2 linked regions of the Mus musculus genome follow. The protein of the gene in region 1 interacts with the protein of each later gene in a pairwise test. Links are inferred from orthologs where the notes say so. Each region holds a gene or a part of one and is shown in the gene's direction. Other genes may lie near its edges.

Region 1 (10,629 bases):
GTTCCATCCAGTGGCCACATTTTATTAATTTTCGCGCTGTTTGGTCTACCTTTTTGCATTTGTATGTCTTGTCTACCAAAGTGCCAACATACAGTATCATTGCAGACTCCCAGTAGACCTAAAATTGCGAGGACACACTCTGTTGTCTGGTTGTACTTTCAGAGGTCGGAGGTACCTTACATGTTGTCCCGACAGCCTGTTTGCAGGCTGTTTTGTTTTCAACAAACCTTTGTCTTAAGCAGATGATTGCATTTCGGGATCACTCAAACAAAATTTTGTTGTGGCAAGAAATTGAGATTGGGATATAGCTTATAATGTTTGGTACCTCATTCCCTAGTGTGGAGCTGATTCTAATGGGAAAAAAGTGTCCAGTTTAGACTGGTTATTTGTTTAAAATGTGCAAGACATTGCTGAGAGTGGGGTTTGTGTAAGTCATTTTAGTGACTCACCTTTCATATTCAAATAAATAAACAAATCTCTCATATTCAAGTAAATAAACCATTCCTCCTAAAACTAAATGTGACATGAAGTTGAAAACTTGTTGAGCTCTTGAGAACTGTTCTCAAGAACAACTACTACTATTGTTTTTGACAAAACAAGTAATGGCACGCAAACTTCGGTAATGAAATGCAAGGTTTATAAAATGTGGAAATAGTTGACAGTCGTGTCTGTGCAAATTTACTTTTGTCCCACAATTCACAGTAGCACTTTAATTTTCTGTCACTTAAGTGCTTATAAGATTCCCATAAAATGGGAGAGGCGAGTGCTCCTTTAAAAAGAGTGGAGGAGCACAGGAGTTGTTTGCTAACTGGTAGTGGGCTTGCCTCGTGTGTGGAATGCCCTGGATTCTATCGCCAGCACCTCAAAAAAGTGAAAAATTGGAAGCATGACTTCACCATAGGTCTTCTCTAAACTCTCCTTGATTACTGTGTCTGTTGACAGCAGCCACTGGGGAGAGTTGTTGAAATCCATGTACTTTGAGCAGGCGGTTTTGCAGGTTGAGCACGTAACTTTTGCTTCCTGTGTAAATGCAGTGTTGAGAAGTAAAATTGTTGTGCTGTGAACTTGAGTTCACCTGAGGGGGTTACCCATTAAGTAGCAAGTACATCTTTTGTTTCTGCAGTCCATTCCCATTCAGGAAACACTGGATGGGTCCCAGTGTACCACTGTGTGCATGCACATGGCCCGGTGTGTAGATGCACACTCTGCTTTAAGATGCCTACAGTATGATGTGGGGGAGAATATGCTCTTTGTGGGCTGCTGCTCAGATTTCACAGCTAGAAATTGGAACATTTCGTTCTGCTGAGATCCTGGGATGTAGGAGATAGCCCTTGCAATAGAAATGTGTTGTGGCTAGTCTCAATTCTTTGTAATGTAGGTTGGGGAAACCAAAAGTTAACTCATGTAATGCATTGTACAGTACATAAAACTGTGTGTAGTAACTTCTTCCTAATATTGTTGGTATAAGATTCATTTTTGGATCTACCGCAAAAGTGTTGATAGTCTTTAAAGTCCCCTGAAAATGGCATGTTTTTATTATTTTAGAGCTACTTTATGTTTAGAATTTGACCTCTGGAATTAATCTTTTCCTTTTGGCTACCTTGATTTCCCTTCTCAAGAACAACTGAGGAGAGAGAGTATGTAGTTGTCTATTACCGTCAAGAGGGTTTTTTGGTTTGGTTTGTGTGTGTGTGCATGTTGCACATGTGTGCTATATGCATTCATGCAGATATATATAGTTGTGTATGTGGGGTATATGTGTGTGTGTTCACAGCATTTGTGAATGTATGTTGTGCGAGTCACAGCACATGTGTGGAAGTCAGGACAATCTCAGGAGCCAGTCCACCTTGTTTGAGAATAGGGTCTCTTTTGATCTGCGCCAGGTTACCTGACTCGTAAGCTTCCGGGGATTTTTCTGTCTGCCCTCCAGCTTGCTTTGGGAGCACTGGGCTTTTAGGTGTTCCGACTGCAGCCAGCTTTGCATGGGTTCTGGAGATTGGACCTCAGATGCAGTTTGCATGTCAGGTGCTTTACACATGAGCATCTCAGCAGCCTAGTTTTGTAGTGTTTGCAGGTGTGCCTACGTATGCTATCTCTCCAGCCCCTCCCTTCCCACTTTTTTTTTTGAGACGAGAGTCCCTCACCATCCTTGAACTTGCAGAGTAAGCTAGGCTGATTGGCTGGCTAGTGAACCCCAGAAATACATCTGTCTTCATCTCCACAATATTGGGACTACTGTGCTCAGATTGTGTGTGTGTGTTGGTTGGTGGGTTTTATTGTTTGTTTTTGGTAGGTTGTAAATGTAGTTCTGGGGGTTTTTCTATCCCCTCCTCTCTCTCCCCTTTGCTCCCAGGTAGTGACAAAACATTTCAGTGTGCACTTTATCCTGAATAAAAGGATTTGGTGTTCTTATTAACAAGCCGCAGCCACTATGCCATGCAGATTCTGAGCTATTCTAATTCAACTAGGCTGCCAATACCCAGCCAAATGGTCTTTTGTCTGAATCTCGCCCTAGCTTAGTCTGGTCCATGTGTGTCCTCATGGCCCTGGTTGCTCTCTCCACCTTCTTCCTTCTCTCTCTCCTTTTGAGACCACATACTGGGATCAGAAGTCCTGCCCTATTCTCTTCTGCCCAGCTGATTGGCAGATCAGCTCTTTATTAACGCATCAGAGGTAATGGAAACCAGTTTTTACATAACATTGAGACTGAAGGTACTTGGCCATGCCATTGTCAGGACTGTAACCAGGTGTCTGGGCATAGAAATCAGCATCTGAGAAGACAGTGCACAAAACCTTCTCCAACCGTGGGAGCTGGAGATTGAATTTAGGTCCTCATGTTTGCTTGACAAGTACTTTACTATCTTCCCAGGCCTATATCAAGGGGTTTTTGGTAGATGAAATACTTTGGGATTAGCCATGTTCAGTCAAAATATTCTTACTGGGGAAAAAAACTATATTCAAGGGGTTGCAAGGTAGACTGTGGTACAGTGTAAATATGGATTTGATCTTTACTAAGCAAGATGAAGTCTGACACCTTAAGTCACAGTTTGGGTTCTCTTACACAAGGCTCAGAGGGAAAGAGAAAACAGGTCTAAGCCACTGGTACTACATGACCTTAATCCCAGCATTTGGGAGGGAGAGGCAGGTGGGTCTCAGTGTTAAAGGCCAACCTGATAAATAAGTGAGTTCCAGGTCAGCTCTATGAAAAAACAAGCAGCCAAAAACTGAAGAAGTAAAGTTGATCCAAAAAAGGAACTAGAAAAATTTGACTATTTGTTAACTGGGAGGAACAGAGAATAATTGGCACCACCAGTGAGGTGGCTCTAAGGATGGGGGTGCTTGCTGCTAAGACTGTTGATGTGAGTTCAGTTCCCCAGAAGCCACATGGTGAAAGGAGAGCACAGACACACATTGTAGAACACCATACATATATGTGTACAAACACTCATTTTTAAAGATATTAAAAGGCAAGCAACTAGAGAGCTGCTGATAGACAGTGGTGGCTCAGCACATAGGAGAAAACAGATTAGCTGTTAGTACAGGTTGGTTAATAGAAGTTGTAACTAGATTAGTCAGAGGAACCAGGCTGCTACTTCTGGTATCAGTGCCATGAAATGATCTAAAGCCAGTATAGATAAACACTTGGCTAAGCATTTCAGGGACCTTAGGGCAGTGTTGTCTGTGACTGAGGAATGGAAGAGCTGGGTTCAGGAATCAGGCAGCAGCAGTACCCTGCTCTCTGCTCTCTCATAGCTGCTTACGAAGCTTTGACTGGTCTGGCACAGTGTAGTTTTGTATGTGTTTGTATGGTTTCTGTATGTGTTGTTTTGAACTGTCCTGGTAAGTAAATAAGAGCATTGGTTCTCATGCTAATGTTTGTATTTGGCTCACAGGTACCCGCTTACCAATTATACTTTTGGTACAAAGGAGCCCCTCTATGAGAAGGACAGCTCTGTTGCAGCCAGATTTCAGCGCATGAGGGAGGAATTTGATAAGATTGGGATGAGAAGGACTGTAGAAGGGGTTCTGATTGTTCATGAACACCGCCTGCCCCACGTGCTCCTGCTGCAGCTGGGGACAACTTTCTTCAAATTGTAAGTAGTGTTAGAAATAACAGCAGGACAACGTGTAAAAAATGACTGTTTTAATGCAGCTTAAAATAAAAGTCTAACCTTTATTTATTTAAACCAGTACCATGAATGAGTCTTTGAAGAAAAGACTTTTCTCCAGTACAATGCTTATTTCCTTTCCATAGAGCTACATTAGGCCAAACTCGATTTCTCAAAGTGATGGGACTATTACTGAATTCAGTTGTTTTCATGTAGCTTAATCACTTGAGCTTATGACTCTAAATATTTACTTGCCCACTGGTCAGATTGTGCCAAAAAGAAAGGCCTTGCCGGGTGGTGCTGGTGCACGCCTTTAATCTCAGCACTCGGGAGGCAGAGGCAGGCGGATTTCTGAGTTCCAGGACAGCCAGGGCTACACAGAGAAACCCTGTCTTGAAAAACAAACAAACAAACAAACAAACAAACAAACAAACAAAAAAAAGAGAGAAAGAAAGGCCTCAAAACTAAATTGATAGTCTTGAAAAATGTCCCATTCGGGACTACAGAGATGGCTCAGTGGTTAAGAGCACTGACTGCTCTTCTGAAGGTCCTCAGTTGAATTCCTAGCAACCACATGGTGGCTCACAACCATCTGTAATGAGATCTGATGGGGGACCAGAGATTCAATTCCCAGCAACCACAAGATGGCTCACAACCATATGTACATCTACAGTGTACTCATATACATAAAATAAATAAATAATTCTTAAAAAAAAGAAAATGTCCCCATTCTTCAGATCTAAGAATGCAGTCTGTTCTCTGGGTATTTGTTTGCTAAACTCCATTAAATCTAGCTTTCCTTTGAGGAGGCTGACATGGATTGTTGGCCAGTGATTGTGCTCATTATATATACACTAGTTTTGCTGTTTAAACTTAGGATTGTATACAGTGGTCTGGTACTTAATATTATAGATTCAACTTCCCAGCACAGCCTCCACCTTTGGCCCTTGTTTTGATGGCTTATCAGATGTCACTGGAATGTGTCTTCTCAGTTACCCGATTGAAGTGATGATAGTTGTGTTCTTGCTGTTATCCCCAAATTGTATTCAATTGTAACGTGAACTTGTTAACTTTTACAGACCTGGTGGGGAACTTAACCCAGGAGAAGATGAAGTTGAAGGACTAAAACGCTTAATGACAGAGGTATTTTTCTGTTTAACCACTTTCACAATTCTATTGCCCATCTGAATACTATCTACTTAATAAATAATCAAATTCTCATGTGTCTTGTAGAAATAAATTTAATTTGAGCAGTTTTTAGTCAGTAAGTAGAACTTAAATCTGAATTAGTATAAATTGTTTTCTGGAAAATAAATATGTCTGAGATCTTAAGCTGAGATCAAAGGATTATCTTGTTCAAGACCATTTAGGTTACATAGTGAGTTCTAGGCCAGCTGGGCCACACAGAGTGAGACCCAATTGCTAAATAAACTAAAATGTCGATGAAACAATAATGCTCAGGTGCCGCTTTGGTAGCGGTTTCCGAGGAAAGCTACTCACGTTTCCTCTGGTTCTTCTGAAAACTACCAAAACGTCAGGAGAAAGGTCATTTTTTTTTTTTAAAGGTATAAAATTCAGTAGTGTTTATGGAATGCAAAAATGAGACCTTAACAAAAAGATGAAGTCATAACTAAGCGAGAGCCAGAAGGCTGTGGAGCACACCACAGCAGACTCAGCAGAAATGGAGCTCAGCAGGATGTCCGTCAGAAACGCAGCGGAGAAGAACGGAGAGGCTGAGGGATTGCCCGTGCTAGCTTCCAGGGCCAGTGAGCCCGTGCGTCAGCTGGATTGGTTGACTCTATAAAGGTTATATTGATATATATTGTCTTTCCCATTCTGTCCAGTTGTGCCAGGACTGACTATTGACTGAGTCAGTGGGCACTAAACCAGCTAACATTTAGCAGTAAAATGTTTAAGAGATGGGGAGAATATCTGAAAACTTGGATCCTGACTAGTAAGCAGTGTAGGAGTCACGCTGTGAAGTAGGACTGAGAGCAGCCGTCAGTGTGGAACAGAACAGTACCGTTCCTAGCTGAGAGGTGGTACTGGGCAGAAGACTGGAGATTTCTGCTCTGCAGAGTGACCAGTCCAAGAAAAGTAGGTGATTTTATTTGAAGTCTTACGAGGGGGCATAGCTGTGTCAGAACTCCTGCACCTAATGAGCAGATATATCATTGGCTTGTGAAGAGACCTTTTTACGAAAATACAGTCTAAAAAAGCAAAAGGAATTCAGCCAAAATGGAAGCTAAATGAGTCACAAAAATCATGATTCTCTCGGAGTAATAGCGGAAGTGCTGTATCTGTGAATCGAGGAGCCGCTTAGAAGACTTTAGCAGGGCAGGTGGGATGGCTCAGTTAATAAAGGTGCTTGTCACCAAGCTTGACGACCTGGGCTCCATCTCCAGAACCCCTGTACGGGAGGGAGAAACTTGAGTCCACAGAGTTGTCCTGTAATCGCTTGTCCTGTGATCTCTTGTCCTGTGATCGCTACATGCACTGTAAAGCAACTGTAGGAAAAAATAGTTATTTAAACTCTTGCAGAAATTTCAAAACTGTACTGTCTTATACCATTTCTTAGGAGACAATAGAGAAAGTTTGCTTTCAAGATGAAGGAATAAGGCAGGAATGATATAATAATCAGACCATGAATGTGCAGTGCTGTAGGGGACAGGCCAAAGAAGGCCTTGTGCTCAGCTGTGAACTGGGCTGTTGCCAGAGCAGAATAGACTGATAGAGGAAAAGGAAGACGGGTAATGGTTGCCGTTTGAACTGAAAACTGATCTGAGCTCTCAGATAGTGTGGGAATAAAAACATTACCTCAGATAAGTAATCATGGTTCATACTAGCAGTGAATCATATTGATAACATGACCCTTTCATATGATTTGATATCCTATTAGAATGGCATTTTACCTCTGTTATCTTCCGTGCCAGAATCTCAGTGTTACTGAGAAATACTACTCAAAAATCCTAACTCGCATTTCTCAAATCTGTCAAGATCATCAAACTATCATAACTGTCACTGTCCAGAGCAGCCTCGGGGAAACTGATGGCATAAGTATCGTATCTTAAATGGGATCCTGGGCCTGAAAAGGGACATTAGGTGCAGAAATTAAAGATACCCATAAACTGTCTGGGTTTCTTTAGTATGATATTGATTCATTGGTTTAACAGATGTGTTATAAGATCATCAGAGTCGGGGAAAGGTGCAGGCATCATGGCAGTGCCCGGCCTGTCCTAATATTCTACGGCAGTTGGAAAAAAGAAATACTGGTCAACATAGAGATAAATACTGGGCAAAACAACTGAACCCAGAAGGGAATTCTCAGGTGTGTGTATTCATTACTATATTACTTTGCACAGATACTTGGTCGTCAAGATGGAGTCCTGCAAGACTGGGTCATTGATGACTGCATTGGGAACTGGTGGAGACCAAATTTTGAACCTCCTCAGGTCAGTATTCAGTTGTGTTCACCAGGCATTTGGTAAAGCAGAAAAGTCACTAATTCAAGACATTTAAAGAGTGACTAAGGGCTAGTAAGGTGGCTCAGTGGGTTTGCTACCAAGCCTCATGACCCAAGTTTGATCTCTGGAACTCACATGGTAGAAGGATAGGACAATGTTGTGGCATCTACACACACACACACACACACAAAGTGAAAACGTTTTTTTTTTTTTTAAGATGTATTTATTTTTATGTATATGTGTGTTTTGCCTGAATGTATGTATCCTGTGGAAGCCATAGAGGATGTCGGATCTCTGGAGGTTGGAGTCACATATGGTAGCGAGCTGCCATTTGGATGCTAGGAATTGAACCTGGGTCCTCTGAAAGAGCAGCCAGTGAGTGACTCTAACTGCTGAGCCATCTCTTCAATTACCCTCCCACCACCTTTTTTTAAAAAGAAATATTAGATGTCTTTTTGTTTTTGTTTGTTTTGTGGTCAATGGTAGTTTGCCTGCATGTTTGTCTGTGTAGGTGTCAGATACTCTGAAACTATAGTTATAGACAGTTGTGAGCTGCTTTGGGGGTGCTGGGAATTGAACCGAGGTCTTTTGGAAGAACAGCCAGTGTTCTTAACTACTGAGCCATTTCTCCAGCCCCATAAATGGAAATTTTTTAAATAAAAAATGAAAAAATAATCAGAGTAGACCTTAGCTTCCCATTTCTTATTCCCATTTCTTAATTTTGATTTAAAAACCATTTTTAAGACCAAACAGCTTTTTCCTTTCTTGTGTATGAGTGTGTGTCTGTATATATATATATGTCTGATGCCTGGGGAGTCGGAGGGAGGAAGTGGGTCCCAGGAAGTATAGTTAAGACGGTTGTTAGTTACCACAGGTGCTGAAAATGGGACCCTCTCTCTCTTAAGGTTTTATTGATGTGAAGAGTCACTATGACCAAGGCAACTCTTATAAGGACAACATTTAATTAAGACTGGCATATAGGTTTAGAGGTTCAGTCCATTATTGCCAAAGCAGGAGCATGGCAGCATCCAGGCAGGCATGGTGCAAGAGGAGCTGAGAGTTCTGCATCTTCATCTGAAGGCTGCTAGCAGAATACTACCCAAGCATCTAGGACTAGGATGTTAAAGCCCATGCCCACAGTGACACACCCACTCTAACAAGAACATACCTCCTAATAGTGCCACTCTCTGGTCCCCATAGGTTTGTTCAAACATATGAGTCCATGGGAGCCATACCTGAACATAGCCACTCCCTGACCTAACCTAAGAATATACAAACCACCACACTTCTCAAACACAAAAGAAACAAGTAGAAATGTTTAAAATTTTAAAAAGATCAAAGTGGACCTTGACTTTTAATTTTGTTTTCTTGACTCTTTAATTTAGATTTAGAAAACATTACAAAGCCAAGCGGAGTTTCCTTCTTCTCTTCTTATTTTGTCTTATGTATGCATGTATATGTATGTATATGTGTGTCAATGTATGTATGTATGTGATGTGATGTATATCGAATGTAATAGATAGCCAAGTCTAGACTTGAACTATTCTTCCTCTCTCTCCAAAGCATTGGGATTATACCATGCCAAGACAGTAAACCACAGTTTCAGGATGATTCTGTTGTTTTGTTTCCTTTTTGACGTGTTAACGATTGAACCACATCTTATGTATGCAGGGCTAATTCCAGCCCACCGTGCTTCTTTTAAGAGAAAAAATTTAAAATATGTAGAAGTAGAATTTATAGTAAGTAAAATTCACCTTTAACAATAAATTCATAGTGAAGTGTTTTTTGTTATGTTTGTTTGTTTGAGATAGGGTTTCTCTGTGTAGCCCTGGCTGTCCTGGAACTCACTCTGTAGACCAGGCTGTCCACTAACTCAGAAATCTGCCTGCCTCTGCCTCCCAAATGCTGGGATTAAAGGCATGCACCAGCACTGCCTGGGTTTTATTATTTATATATATATTTATATATATTCTAATGTATATGAGTACTCTGTCTTCATGCACACAAGAAGAAGGCATTAGATCCCATTACAGATGGTTGTGAGCCACCATGTGGTTGCTGGGAATTGAACTCAGGACCTCTGGAAGAGCAGCCAGTAGTCTTAACCGCTGAGCCATCTCTCCAGCCCAGATGAAGTATTTTTCATTCCCTCCCTCTTACTGCTGCTTCATCTTCCTGCTTTCCCCATGGACTGTTTGAAGCAAATCCTAGGTGTTGTTTCAGTTGTAAATATTTTAGTGTGAATTGTAAAGGAGATTTTATTTTATAAAGCATTGGCAATGGAAACTAGAAAGATGGTTTAGTAGAGGGCCAGCGTTCCATTTCCAGATATATATTGGGTGGTTCATAACCACCTCTAACTCCAGCCTCAGGGATCTGATAGCTCTCCCTCTGTGGGTGCCTGCACCTATATGTGTAGACACATATGTACACACATAATTAAAGGCTGAGTAAACCCTTTCCTCCCCAACTTGCTTTCTGGTTGTAGTGTTTCGTTCCAGCAATAGAAACCCTGACTAAGACAGTTGATTTTCATAACGTTAGTGTTAACAGGTCATTCATTGTTGATAACTTCCTAGAGTCATGAAGTCTCTGGAGATGTGTTTTTCTTTTTTAACACAGAAAACCTTAACCTCATCAACTACTTGGTTACTCTGGAGTATAGAGTTCTATAGGAAATAGTAGATGCTTCTTTTCCTTTCCTAAGTTTTCAGAAGAATGCATTCATCCTTCAAAGATACATTATGGAGTGAAAAAGGCAGATGTGGATACAGATTGAGAAGTGAGACAGGAAGTAGCAAAGTATAGGGAGAGGGGAACCAGAAGCAGCAGTCATTTAAAAAAAAAAAAAGGTAGGCATGGTGGTGCATCGCTAACCTCGGTATTCTGTGGGCATGGTGGTGCATCGCTAACCTCAGTATTCTGGAGGTAGAGGCAGAAGGAGTTCATGCCCAATCTTAGCTCCATAGTGAGCCCTGTCTCAACAACATCAGAGCAAAACCCCCCCACACCCCTACCCCCAAGAACAGTATTGACCTTACTATAACCATGAACAG
Region 2 (11,175 bases), on another chromosome or scaffold:
AGGCCAGGCCTCTGTGTTCTGCACTGCTTTGGACATTTGTATCTTCCAAGCTCCCACAGAGCATCTCACTGTGCTCTGAGCACTCAGTGCTTTCCCAGCCCAGAGCTCAAATGCCACAACCCTCAAACATCGAACAGTAAACACGTATGGCCAGGCATCTCTGTCACAGCCACAGCCCCCGGTCCCGGTAACAACTCCTGTCTTAGGTTTTTTTTTTTTTACTACTGTATGAAACACCATAAGGAAAAGCAACTCAGAAAAGGGTTTGTTCTGTTTACCTTTCCAGGTTCTGTCAGTCCAGCAAGGAAGTTAGGGCAGAAACCTGGAGGCAGGAGTTGATGCAGGGTCATGGAGTGGTGTGGTTACTGGCTCGCTCAAGCCTGCTTTCTTATAAAACCCAGGACCACCAGCCCTGGGATGGCACCACCCACAATGGCTGGGCCCTTCCCCATCAATCACTAATTAAGAAAATATCCAGGGGATGTGGGGGAGGGGCGGATATTGGGATGTAAAGTGAATACATTAATAAAAAAAAAAAACAAAGAAAATATCCTACAGGCTTGCCTACTTACCTTATGACAGGCATTTTCTCAGTTGCAGTTCCCTCCTTTCAGATGACTCTGGCTCCTGTCAAGTTGACATAAAAACTAGCCAGAGCTTCTGTGTTATGTCTGAGTAGCTTGGTGGTTCTGTGGGAATCCTAACCATGGGAGTGGGGGCTGTCCCCGATTCTTTTGCCTGCTTATGGGACCATTTCCCTTACTGAATTGCCTCGTCCAACCTTGATGTGGTGCGATGGATGTGCCTATTTAAATATGCCGTATTTGATCGATGTCCCTGGGAGGCCTGCTCTTTTCTGAGGGAAGCTGGAGGGGAGTAAATCTGGGGGAGAGGGGAGGTGGTGGGGGAGGGACAGGGGAAGGGGAGAGAGGGGAAACTGAGGCTGAGATATAGTATATGAAAGAATTAAAAAAAAAAAAGCCTGGCCAGCACACTTATCTTTGCTATCAATTTTTTTTTTTCTGTTGACTTAGAAAGTTAATGTCCGAGCTGCTGAGATGGCTCAGTGGTTAAGGGCACTGACTGCTCTTCCAAAGGTCCTGAGTTCAAATCCCAGCAACCATATGGTGGCTCACAACCATCTGTAATGGGATCTGACTCCCTCTTCTGGAGTGTCTGAAGACAGTGACAGTGTACTCACATATAATAAATAAATAAATAAATCTTAAGAAAAAAAAAGAAAAAGAAAGTTAATGTCCAGCTGGGCAGTGGTGGCGCACGCCTTTAATCCCCACACTCGGGAGGCAGAGGCAGGCAGGTCTCTAAGTTTGTGGCTGGCCTGGTTCTCTGAGGGAATTTGAGGCCAGCCTGGTCTACAGAGCGAGCCCAGGACAGGTGGGTGTACTGAGAGTTCTGGTTTCTTTAAAACCCCCTCATGTTATGTGCTTTTGTTTTAAGCCCAAGTGTGGGATATGGGGCTTCTTCAGTTTGTCCTCAGCCACTATGATTGTCTTGTGCTCCAAGAGGGGCATGGTTTTGCCATCTGCAGATAGTTTAATTCTAGAGACTCTGGAGAGGATATTAATACAAGGGCCCCTAGAAGGCCTACGGCAGCTGCTCCCCTTGCTGTTGCTGGGATGCTGACTTGCCCCTGGGAACACCACAACCTAACCAAGGAAGAAGCCTGTGGAGGTCTTCGTCCTCTTTCCTCTGTAGCCTTTCTCTCCTACCTCATGTTGTATTGGGGCGGGGGGGAGGGTTAGAAGGGAGAGAATAGTATAAGAACTCTCAATAAAATAGATAAAAAAGACAAAAGTCAACAGCCAAGCCTATGCAGAGAAACCTTGTCTCAAAATAAAAATAAAACAAACACAAAATCTAGTTGTATAGGGTGAACCCACAATTATTCAAGTTTCTGAAGTGATACACTGCTGTGTGATTATCACCACTTCTTTCCTTTCAGGGCTACGAGGGTAGAGCGCTTGCCTGGCATGCAGAAAGCTCTGGGTTAGACCCCAAGAACCTTAGAACACAGAGTAACAGGGAGGCAGGGCAGGCTAGCCAGTGCAGCAGCAGACTGAGGCCATTGAAAAACGTAAACAAAAAAGTCACACCGGACCACATATCTATTAAGATAAAACACAGCCAGGCATGGTGGCACATACCTTTAATCCCAGCACTCGGGAGGCAGAGGCAGGTGGATTTCTGAGTTCGAGGCCAGCCTGGTCTACAAAGTGAGTTCCAGGACAGCCATGGCTATACAGAGAAACCCTGTCTCAAAAAACCAAAAAAACAAAAAACAAAACAAACAAACAAACAAACAAACCAGGGGGGGTGGGAATCCTTTTTAATGGTGATGGAGACTGAACCCAGAACCTGAACGGTTGTAGACAATTGTTCTGCCAGCCAGCTCTAACTTCAGCCCTTATTCACTGTTGTTTTGAGTCTCACTGTATAGCCCAGGCTCGTTTGTCCCCCCCCCCCCCTCACCCCCCGACTTGGGATTACATTTGTGTTATCACCAAGACTGCTTTCTTGTTCTTGCTTTCTAGTTTAAGACAAGCTCTCAGGCGTCCCTTCCCTTTCTGCTCTGAAACTGGATCTTATGTAGCTCAGGCTGGCCCGAAGTCCCTACGTCCCAAAGACATCTGATTCTTCCTGTCTCCACCTCCTGAGTGCTGGGACCCAGAGCTTTGTGCAACCAACTGTGCTACATCCCTTGCACCCGTACAGACCTTTTTACTCAAGCTTTTTCCAGCCGGGGAATGTCCGTTTCAGGGTACAAAATTGGCTTGTGCCTCATTCTTCCTATGGCGCCGCTGGGAGTCTTCTACCCTGAGCTATTTCTGGTCCACTTGCTTGCACAAGCTCTAGTATGAGGCGCGCCGCCAGAGTTATTTATTCGTCTGTTTCGGGACGGTGGGCCGGTTCCCTCTCTGCACTCAGACATTTGCTAAACTCCAGGGAGAAAGTGCAAATACTCAGGCTGGGCAATGGTGTCGGAAAGGTAAAGAAGGACTGCAGAGCCCAGCGTTGCATTTGTTGGGTATCTCGGGGGGGGGAGACCGCGGTGCATTGGCGGCCTCAGCAGACGCCTCCACAAGGAGGAGAGTGGAAGCAGATGGCCAGGCTAAATTGTAAATCTTAACATCTACTTCAGTCAGTCTTTCGACCACTATCAAATGTGAAATAAATAAATAAATAAATAAATAAATAAATAAATAAATAAATAAAACGCAAAACTCTGCCAAGTTACACCATTCCGCAGCTAACAGCCTGAGGAAGCCCCCGCTGCCGCCCCGCCCACCGCCCGGCCCCTCCCACCGCCCGGGCCGGCCCCGCCCCTAGCCTTGCGGGCGTCTGTGGGTCTGCAGCCGCAGGGTCATGGGTGGGGACAGCTCAGGCCCTTTCAATTCCGGAACCGGCGCACGCCTCAGGACCTGAGTCACCAACTGTCACCAGGGGCCGGAAGTCACCACCAACTCTCACGGCTGGGAAAAGGTTTCCTGTGAGCCTGCGGGTGCTCGCGGACTACGACTCCCAGCATGCTCTGCGGCAGCCGCACTTAACCCTTCAGGGACAGGAGCTGCCCTGAGTCCCGCCCCCCACCTGCCCCTTCCTCGGACCCGGCAAGGTGAGTTTTGAGGGGCTGGGAGGGTCTTTTTCCTCTCTAGGGCTTAGGAGTGAGTGAAAGTGAGGGAAACGGGCGTTTTGTTTAGGAAGGATTCTTTATTTTCCAAAAATGGGACAATTTGCAGTAAAAAGATTCTGACGCCCTTTTGCAAATGGGAGACCCACTGCTACTCTGCGAACTCCAGGGCCTAAGTGGAATGACCAGTCTCTCAGAATGCCATGTAATTCTTCTTTATCCAAGAACAGAGTAGCCAGAACCTCCTAGCTCCCAAACATCATCTTTTCCCTTCATCAGCGCTTCCAGCAAGGTTTGTGACTCAAAGCTCAGCTAAGGTTTTTGATGTGATCCTGACCAATGGTGTGTCCGTGTGGATACCTATGAACTCCTTTGGAGGTCCTGTAACCTTTTGGGTTATTAGGGGGCTCTTTGTCTCCCAGGGCCCCCTCCATGTGTGTGTGTGTGTGTGTGTTCCCTCCATGCTCACTAGGCATTATAGCCTTTTGTTTGATTTGAATAACATTGTCTTGTTGAAAAATGTTCCTTCTTTGGAATTATGTGTGACAGATGTTAAGCCTTGCCTACACTGGAACCCCTAAACCAACATTAGGTATAGAAGTCAGTGGGTAATAACACGCTCGAGTTACTGTGCATAGTTTAAGGTTGGGGGTAGGTGGGGGCCCAGGGATTACAAGTTCTAAGGATACGGGAAAAGACAGAAGGGAGTGCAAAGGCCTCCTCTCACCTTTTACTGTTTCCAGAACAGATTTTAAAACTTCCCACCTGATACCAGCCCCCCACCCCTCTACCCCGACTCCACCCCAAGCCCTTGCTTTGCTTGGGCTTTCCCACGGTCTAAAACTAATGCAAGTTTTTGTTTGTTTTTCTACTTTAGTTTTCTTCTTTCTCCCCTTAGCTCCTATCTCAGAATCACTGGCAAACATCCTATCTTCACCCTGGAGGTTAACAATCCCTATTCTGACAGGTCTCGTGTTTCTTCTCTGTACCCTTAAAGAAAACATTCTATTCAGCTGTAGGAGAGTGGTATCAGAGGGAAGAAAACTTTGGGGGCAGGAGTCCTGAACCATAGGAGGCCAGGGGAGTGAGGGCAGACAGGCATAAGTCTCTTCCCCCTCACCCTTGCCAACTGGCTCCCTGTCCCTGCTGCTGCCCCCGCCCCTTGACATCCCAGACTCCCTGCCTATTTAAACAGAGATGGGTGCCCCCATCAGCACATTGTTCTTTGGCCACCTGACATCATGCCTCCCAAGAAGGATGCTCCCGTGAAGAAACCAGCAGGGCCCTCCATCTCTAAGCCTGCTGCCAAGTCTACACCAGGGACCCCTCTAGCCAAGGCCAAGGCTGAGCCGGCTGCCCCCCAGGCACCTGCAAAATCCCAGGAGCCCCCTGTTGATCTCTCCAAAGTGGTGGTGAGTCCTGGGGAAGTGTGAATCTGGAAGGGATAGTTCAGAGATGCGGTGCAGCCTTGGGTATCCGGGAATATGTGGAAAGGATAGGGAATGAATGAACGCTGGAATGAGGTTGGGGCTCCCAGGTCAGGCCAGTTTCCGAAGTGAAGGGAGAGGGGTGCTGTCTGCCTCTGGCTCTTCTGTTCAACTCAGAAGGCTACATCTCTGAACCCCAGGAGGGGAGACTGAAGAGGGCAGGCTTGTTAGACAATCACAGCTGGGGGCAGGGGTAAATTTAGCCTTTGTTCAGCCCCCAGTTATGTGAGGGATGCAGGACTCGGGGTAGCAGGAGGGAAGGGAACAGGTGGCATGGGATTAACCCTGTTCCCAAGAAACCCTCCCCCTGTAATTCCTCTTGGGATTCTCCCAAGGCCCAGAGCTGGGGACAGGACTGAAGTGGCCCGGCTCCCCGCCTTCATCCCTTTGGGTCCCTCCCCAGAAGTGGCTGCCAGTTGGTTGTGATAGAGAGGGACTGAATAAGCCCTGTCATCTCCTCACCTGCCCTTTTTGTCCCCTACAGATCGAGTTTAACAAGGACCAGCTGGAGGGTGAGGAGAAGCCCATTTCCTAAGCCCCATTGTCAAACCCCAAACTCCTGGTCAGATTCTCTGTTCTAACGACAGTCCTGACCTTGAAACCTCCCACACTTGTCCTGTTCTCCTCCCTCCCATGCCTGGCTCTAGCACATGAATTTCTGAAGCAAACCTCCCTCTCTCTGTTGGTGATGGGGATCCTTGGTCACACTGCCTTCTCCTTACATCTCAGAATTCAGAGAGGCCTTTGAGCTGTTTGACCGAGTAGGTGATGGCAAGATCCTGTACAGCCAGTGTGGGGACCTGATGAGGGCCCTGGGCCAGAACCCTACCAACGCCGAGGTGCTCAAGGTCCTGGGGAACCCCAAAAACGAGGGTGAGAGGAGCCTTGAGTTTTGTGGGGGTTTCTGTTTTCTTCTTGGTGTTGAACGTTGAATACAGGGTTCTGCCTGGGCCATTGAGCTACATTTCTAGCCAGCAACTTTCTCTTCTTCCTCTTTTTCTTCTCTCTCTCTCTCTCTTTCTTTCAAGATAGGATTTCAGTATCCCAGCCAAGAATGACCTTACATTCTGATTCTCCTATCTCCACCTCTTGCTACTGCCCACTAGAGTGGTGGGATTACTCCAGTTTATGTAGTGCTGGGTTGAATCCAGGGCCTCAGGCAAGCCAGGCAAGCCCTTATTACAGAGGTACTGTTTTTTTTTACTTTTTGAGACAGGTGCTCACCAAATTACTCAGGTTGGCCAGGGACCTACAGTTCTATCCCAGCAGCCCCAATCCCCAGTTTTCTTTTTCTTTTTAAATTTTAATTATTATTATTGTTGTTTAGATAGTGTTGTTACTACCACCACTACTACTACTATTACTACTACATAGGGTGTCTCTATATAGCCCTGCTTAGCCTGGAACTCATTGTATAGACCAGGTTGGCCTCAGACTCAAGAGGGACTTCCCCTGCCTCTGAATGCTGGGACTGAAGGTGTGTGGGCTTAGTGGTTCTCTCTTTCTGTTTTGAGTGTGTCCAGCCACTGGGCTACATCCCTGCCTTTCCTTTTTTTTTTTTTTTCCTTTCTGTTGAGACAGTCTTAAGTTGTTCTGGCTGGCTTTGAACTTGCCTGGTAGCTGTAGTTACAAAACTGCACCACCAGGCCTGGCAACAGTTTCAATTTTCAATGACAGAATATTGGTAAGGTGACAGAGGACGCTAGGATGGACCTCAGGACTCAAAAAACGTCAAACACAGGGAAGAGAAACATCCTGAATGCTGAAAGGGATGAAAGTCACAATAGTAGGGTTGGATGGCACTGGATCCCACACCTCAGTTGATCTCTCTCATCTCTATCTAATTGCACTGGATCCCACACCTCAGTTGATCTCTCTCATCTCTATCTAATTGCCAGAGCTGAAGTCCCGACGTGTAGACTTTGAGACGTTCCTGCCCATGCTGCAGGCAGTGGCCAAGAACCGGGACCAAGGCACATATGAGGACTACCTAGAGGGGCTTCGTGTGTTTGACAAAGAGGGCAACGGCAAGGTCATGGGTGCAGAGCTCAGACATGTTCTTACCACTCTCGGTGAGGCAGGGCCCAGAGCTGTGGGGTGGAGAAGTGGGGGGTCCTGGAAGAGCTAAGTAGAGCCTAGAATGGGTTTATGGTCCTGCAGTTATGGGCAGGAGACTCAAGAGGGCCAGCATTGTGGAGACAGATCACCTAGAGGCTAAAGTGTCCAGCTATGAGCCAAGGGCAGGGAATGCAATGTCCCCCTTTGCAAGCCACAATTGTGTTGATTCCATGCAAGTCTCAACCCCGGCAGCTTGTTTCGCTGTCAAGTCAAAGCTTTCACCTGCTCCAAGGCACCGTTGATATGAAAAAGGGCAAGGGTGGGAGGATGAACCACCCTGAGAATGTCTTGGGCTGGTGAGGCAGGGAAGGCGGGGGACTCTAACTGTTTTTGGGTTCAGGAGAGAAGATGACTGAGGAAGAGGTAGAGACTGTTCTGGCAGGCCACGAGGACAGCAACGGCTGCATCAACTATGAGGGTGAGGGGGCAGGATGGCCAGGGAGTAAGGAGACTTGAGGGGGGTGGGAGTACCCTCAGTTACCCGAAGGTCAGTTTCTCAAGTCCTCTCGTCTCCTTTCGTGCAGCCTTCCTGAAGCATATCCTAAGCCTCTGAGCTCCGCAGGTGGCCCTCCAGCCAGCCCCTGGTATCCGCTTGAGAGGCAAGGGTCCTCGATCCACCAGATAGAAGCGCAGGCAGTGCGTCTCCGCGCCCGTCCGTAGCGCAGCCGCCAGGGCTGGACTATTTCCTTCCCCACCCCCCACCCCCTCCCACCCCCACCCCACCCCAGCCCCGACTCCCACCCCACGTAGAACCTGCAGCGACGGAAACTTGCCCCACCTCCTGTGCGGCCAGAAGCGCGTTCCTGCCACTAGGGGGCACTTACAGTTTTGAAATAAAAACATGGTTCCTGCTTCGGTTTCCGACAGTTTTCTTTTGAGAAAGAGGAAGGACGGGAGCGGGTAGTCCTCTCTTCTGCAAAAGCCCAAATCCTCTGCTCTTGGTGCAGCTCGGAAGAAAGGTTTCCGAGAGTCCCAACCCAGGCCCCCCTGCTAGATTCCTGAGCCGAGGTAGGGCGCCCCCCCCCCACCTCATTAATAATGTAGTGATGTCATCTGCATGAGCCCAGACTAGCGTGCCTATTGGATGAAACGGCGGAGGGTGACGTCATGCGCCATGGGACGTACTAAGGCTGGGGTTGGGTAGGGCGTCGGAGCCATTACTGCCGGAAAAGGTCCAGCAGAGCTCAGCAGCCAAGATGGTGGGCCCTGGGAATCGGGAGATCAGGGGGATTTGGGGCAAGGAGAGGACCGCGGGTGGGAGTAGAGAAAGCAGTGGACGTGGGCACGCCCAGGTTTTGGAAGGTTGGCTGTGGGATTGGAATGTCTAGGGCTTTGCCCTGGGAAGCGAATCCTCGGCTTCAAACAGGAGTTTGTAAAGCCGGGATAGAAGCTTGCGGGGTTGGACCTCAGGTAACTGACCAATCCCTTCTTCTCCGAGCAGTGTGACTTCACCGAGGACCAGACCGCAGGTAGGCAGTCTCTGACCCGCAGCTCAGGTCATCCTTACCGAGAGGGACCCCCTTCCTTTAGCATCTATCTTCTGATCCCAACCTGTCACCTCCAGCGCTCCCAGGAGAGTGCCCCGTGGATTTCCTTCTGCTCTAGATCCTCCATTTTCTTTTCTCATTCTTTCTTCCTTCCCCTTCCACTCCAGATCTGAGCCCCAAGCGCTGGGTGAGTTTTAGGTGGTGTGGGTGTGTGAAACAATTTGACTAGTGCCTGTTATGTGTCGGGTCTATTACGCTTGTGGTTTGCTGCTTCTTTTTTTGCCTCTCCTCTGATAACTGTCCCCTCCTTAAGCTTGGATTCTGAGTACTGTAGAGGGCAGTGCCTTGATATTTTGTTAAGATGGGCACTGGAGAGTTTGCTAAGGATGTGGCTTCACCTCTTGGAAGGTCTCCCGGAGGGGAAGGGTGGGAGTGGGAGGCTAGAGTCCAGGCTCTTACTTCCTTATATGGGCAGGACCTAGCCTGGGCGGTGGCAGATTCCTGCGGAGTTGTATAGTAGTGGTGGAGAGCCTAGCCTGCCGCAGCTCAGGGGGTGTGTAAACAGATGGCTACCACCTTAAGGTAAGGGAAAGAAGGTTGCCTGTCTTTATGTGGGGCATTTGAGTTGATAGAAATAGATCCCTAGGAGTAGTCTTGTGTATAGAGGAGGACAAGATATCTGGTTTCTGCAGCATGACTTAAGTTGAATTGGCAGCAGAGCTGTGCAGCAAGCACGGGGCTAATCCCTGGTGCTGCCGTTCTTCTGAATCCTCAGAATTCAAGGAGGCTTTCCAGCTGTTTGACCGAACAGGTGATGGCAAGATCCTGTACAGCCAGTGTGGGGATGTGATGCGGGCCCTGGGCCAGAACCCTACCAACGCCGAGGTGCTCAAGGTCCTAGGGAACCCCAAGAGTGATGGTGAGCATTTCAAGAATGTAGTGGGTTCATGGTTGTTCAGCTAAAGTCATCCCTTTATCTGCATAGGTGCCAAACTTGAGCAAGTTTTGTCTCATCCAGTTCTGATTCCCTCTTCTGGCCGTCCTTGTGTTCCCTACCGTCATGTCCTGAGAACATGTGTGACTTCTCTTGTCTGACACCTCCACCTCCCACATGACAGAGATGAATGTGAAGGTGCTGGACTTTGAGCACTTCCTGCCCATGCTGCAGACCGTGGCCAAGAACAAGGACCAGGGAACCTACGAGGATTATGTTGAAGGCCTTCGTGTGTTTGACAAGGAAGGAAATGGCACCGTCATGGGTGCTGAAATCCGTCATGTCCTAGTCACACTGGGTAAGGGTCTGTGACCTTTCTGGAGCTGAGCTGCCACCTGATATATTTCACCCGTCAGTCACTCAGTTCTAAGAATGTTCCTTCCTCTGCAGGCGAGAAGATGACAGAGGAAGAAGTAGAGATGCTAGTGGCGGGGCATGAGGACAGCAATGGTTGCATCAACTATGAAGGTGAGGGGCAGACCATAAACTGGGGCCTGTGAGGAAATGGTCGTTCAGGAGATGTTAAAGAGGCATTGTATTCCTAGACTTGGTTCCAGAAGGGAGTCGGGAGTCAAAGGGGCAAGCAAGGCTCAGTCCAGCCTGGGAGGGAACTGTTGGGGAGACAGCAGTAAAGGGGGGGGTGATGGAGGACGGAGGGTGGGCTAGGAATGGGACGTAAACAGAATGTCTGTTCCACTGCCTGACCCCTTCACCCCATGTCTGTGTCTTGTCTTCACCATTAATGTCTCTTCCTTCCTGCAGCATTTGTGAGGCATATCCTGTCGGGGTGACGGGCCCATGGGGCGGGTACGGCTCCTCCCAGCCTCTCCTCTAGTTATCTCCCTAGTGTTTTTTTTTCCTTCCCAACCTGTGCTCTAGCCTCTGGCCATACCCTACTACCATCTGCCTTACTCCTGGCATGACTCTGCATGGAGCTGGCTTGGGAGGGGAGAAATTCCTCAATGAGGAATGCAGTTTGGGGGTGTGGTACCTCCTCTCCTAGAATGGTCTCTGAGATTTGACTTACAGGGGTCTTGGTGCTGGTGTCTGGGAACGCTCACCAGCTTGTAGGGAAGGCTGGTCTGATGGTGATTCTAGAGTTGGCGGGGGCAGGGTTGAGCTAACTGCCCCATTCTGCTGCTAAAACAAAAGTCCTTTTTCCATCCCTCTACTGGACAGCGTGGAGGTACCCTAACCCAAAGCTGACCTCTCCTCCTGCCAGTGGCTGACCATAACTGTAGGTGTAGCTGAGAACTTTTCTGCCTCTGCTATGTTCTTGCTATTTAGATTGGGGGTGGGGGCTAACAGCCAGTGGGAGGGGAACCAGGGACAGAGAGAACTGGCCACTCTGAGTGGCTCTTTTGAAAACTGACCCAAGGTTGGTTGCTATGGGCATGTTCCCTCCTGCCACCTTCATGGTCTCGTGGTCTCCTGGCCCAT

What was found.
Region 2: the proteins of Nudt21 (region 1) and Myl6 interact in binary tests that used the Homo sapiens proteins (3 or more experiments, as listed by UniProt). The two-hybrid records come from large-scale screens. The link is inferred for Mus musculus from reciprocal best matches to the Homo sapiens genes NUDT21 and MYL6.

What each region holds. Positions count from the first base shown.
Region 1 is NC_000074.6:94,025,767-94,036,395, reverse strand, and holds part of Nudt21 (cleavage and polyadenylation specificity factor subunit 5), read left to right. Parts: intron 1-3,893; coding exon 3,894-4,094; intron 4,095-5,188; coding exon 5,189-5,252; intron 5,253-7,471; coding exon 7,472-7,561; intron 7,562-10,629. UniProt on the Homo sapiens protein: Component of the cleavage factor Im (CFIm) complex that functions as an activator of the pre-mRNA 3'-end cleavage and polyadenylation processing required for the maturation of pre-mRNA into functional mRNAs.
Region 2 is NC_000076.6:128,491,087-128,502,261, reverse strand, and holds the start of Myl6 (myosin light polypeptide 6), read left to right. Parts: upstream 1-8,375; 5' UTR 8,376-8,450; coding exon 8,451-8,453; intron 8,454-8,695; coding exon 8,696-8,723; intron 8,724-8,908; exon of another isoform or gene 8,909-8,928; intron 8,929-9,216; exon of another isoform or gene 9,217-9,323; intron 9,324-9,516; coding exon 9,517-9,660; intron 9,661-9,859; coding exon 9,860-10,033; intron 10,034-10,125; coding exon 10,126-10,203; intron 10,204-10,497; coding exon 10,498-10,526; 3' UTR 10,527-10,542; intron 10,543-10,914; coding exon of another isoform or gene 10,915-10,964; exon of another isoform or gene 10,965-10,972; intron 10,973-11,175. Other genes in the region: Myl6b (myosin light chain 6B), read left to right, coding at 4,891-5,061, 5,621-5,648, 5,866-6,009, 7,035-7,208, 7,595-7,672, 7,779-7,807. UniProt on the Homo sapiens protein: Regulatory light chain of myosin. Does not bind calcium.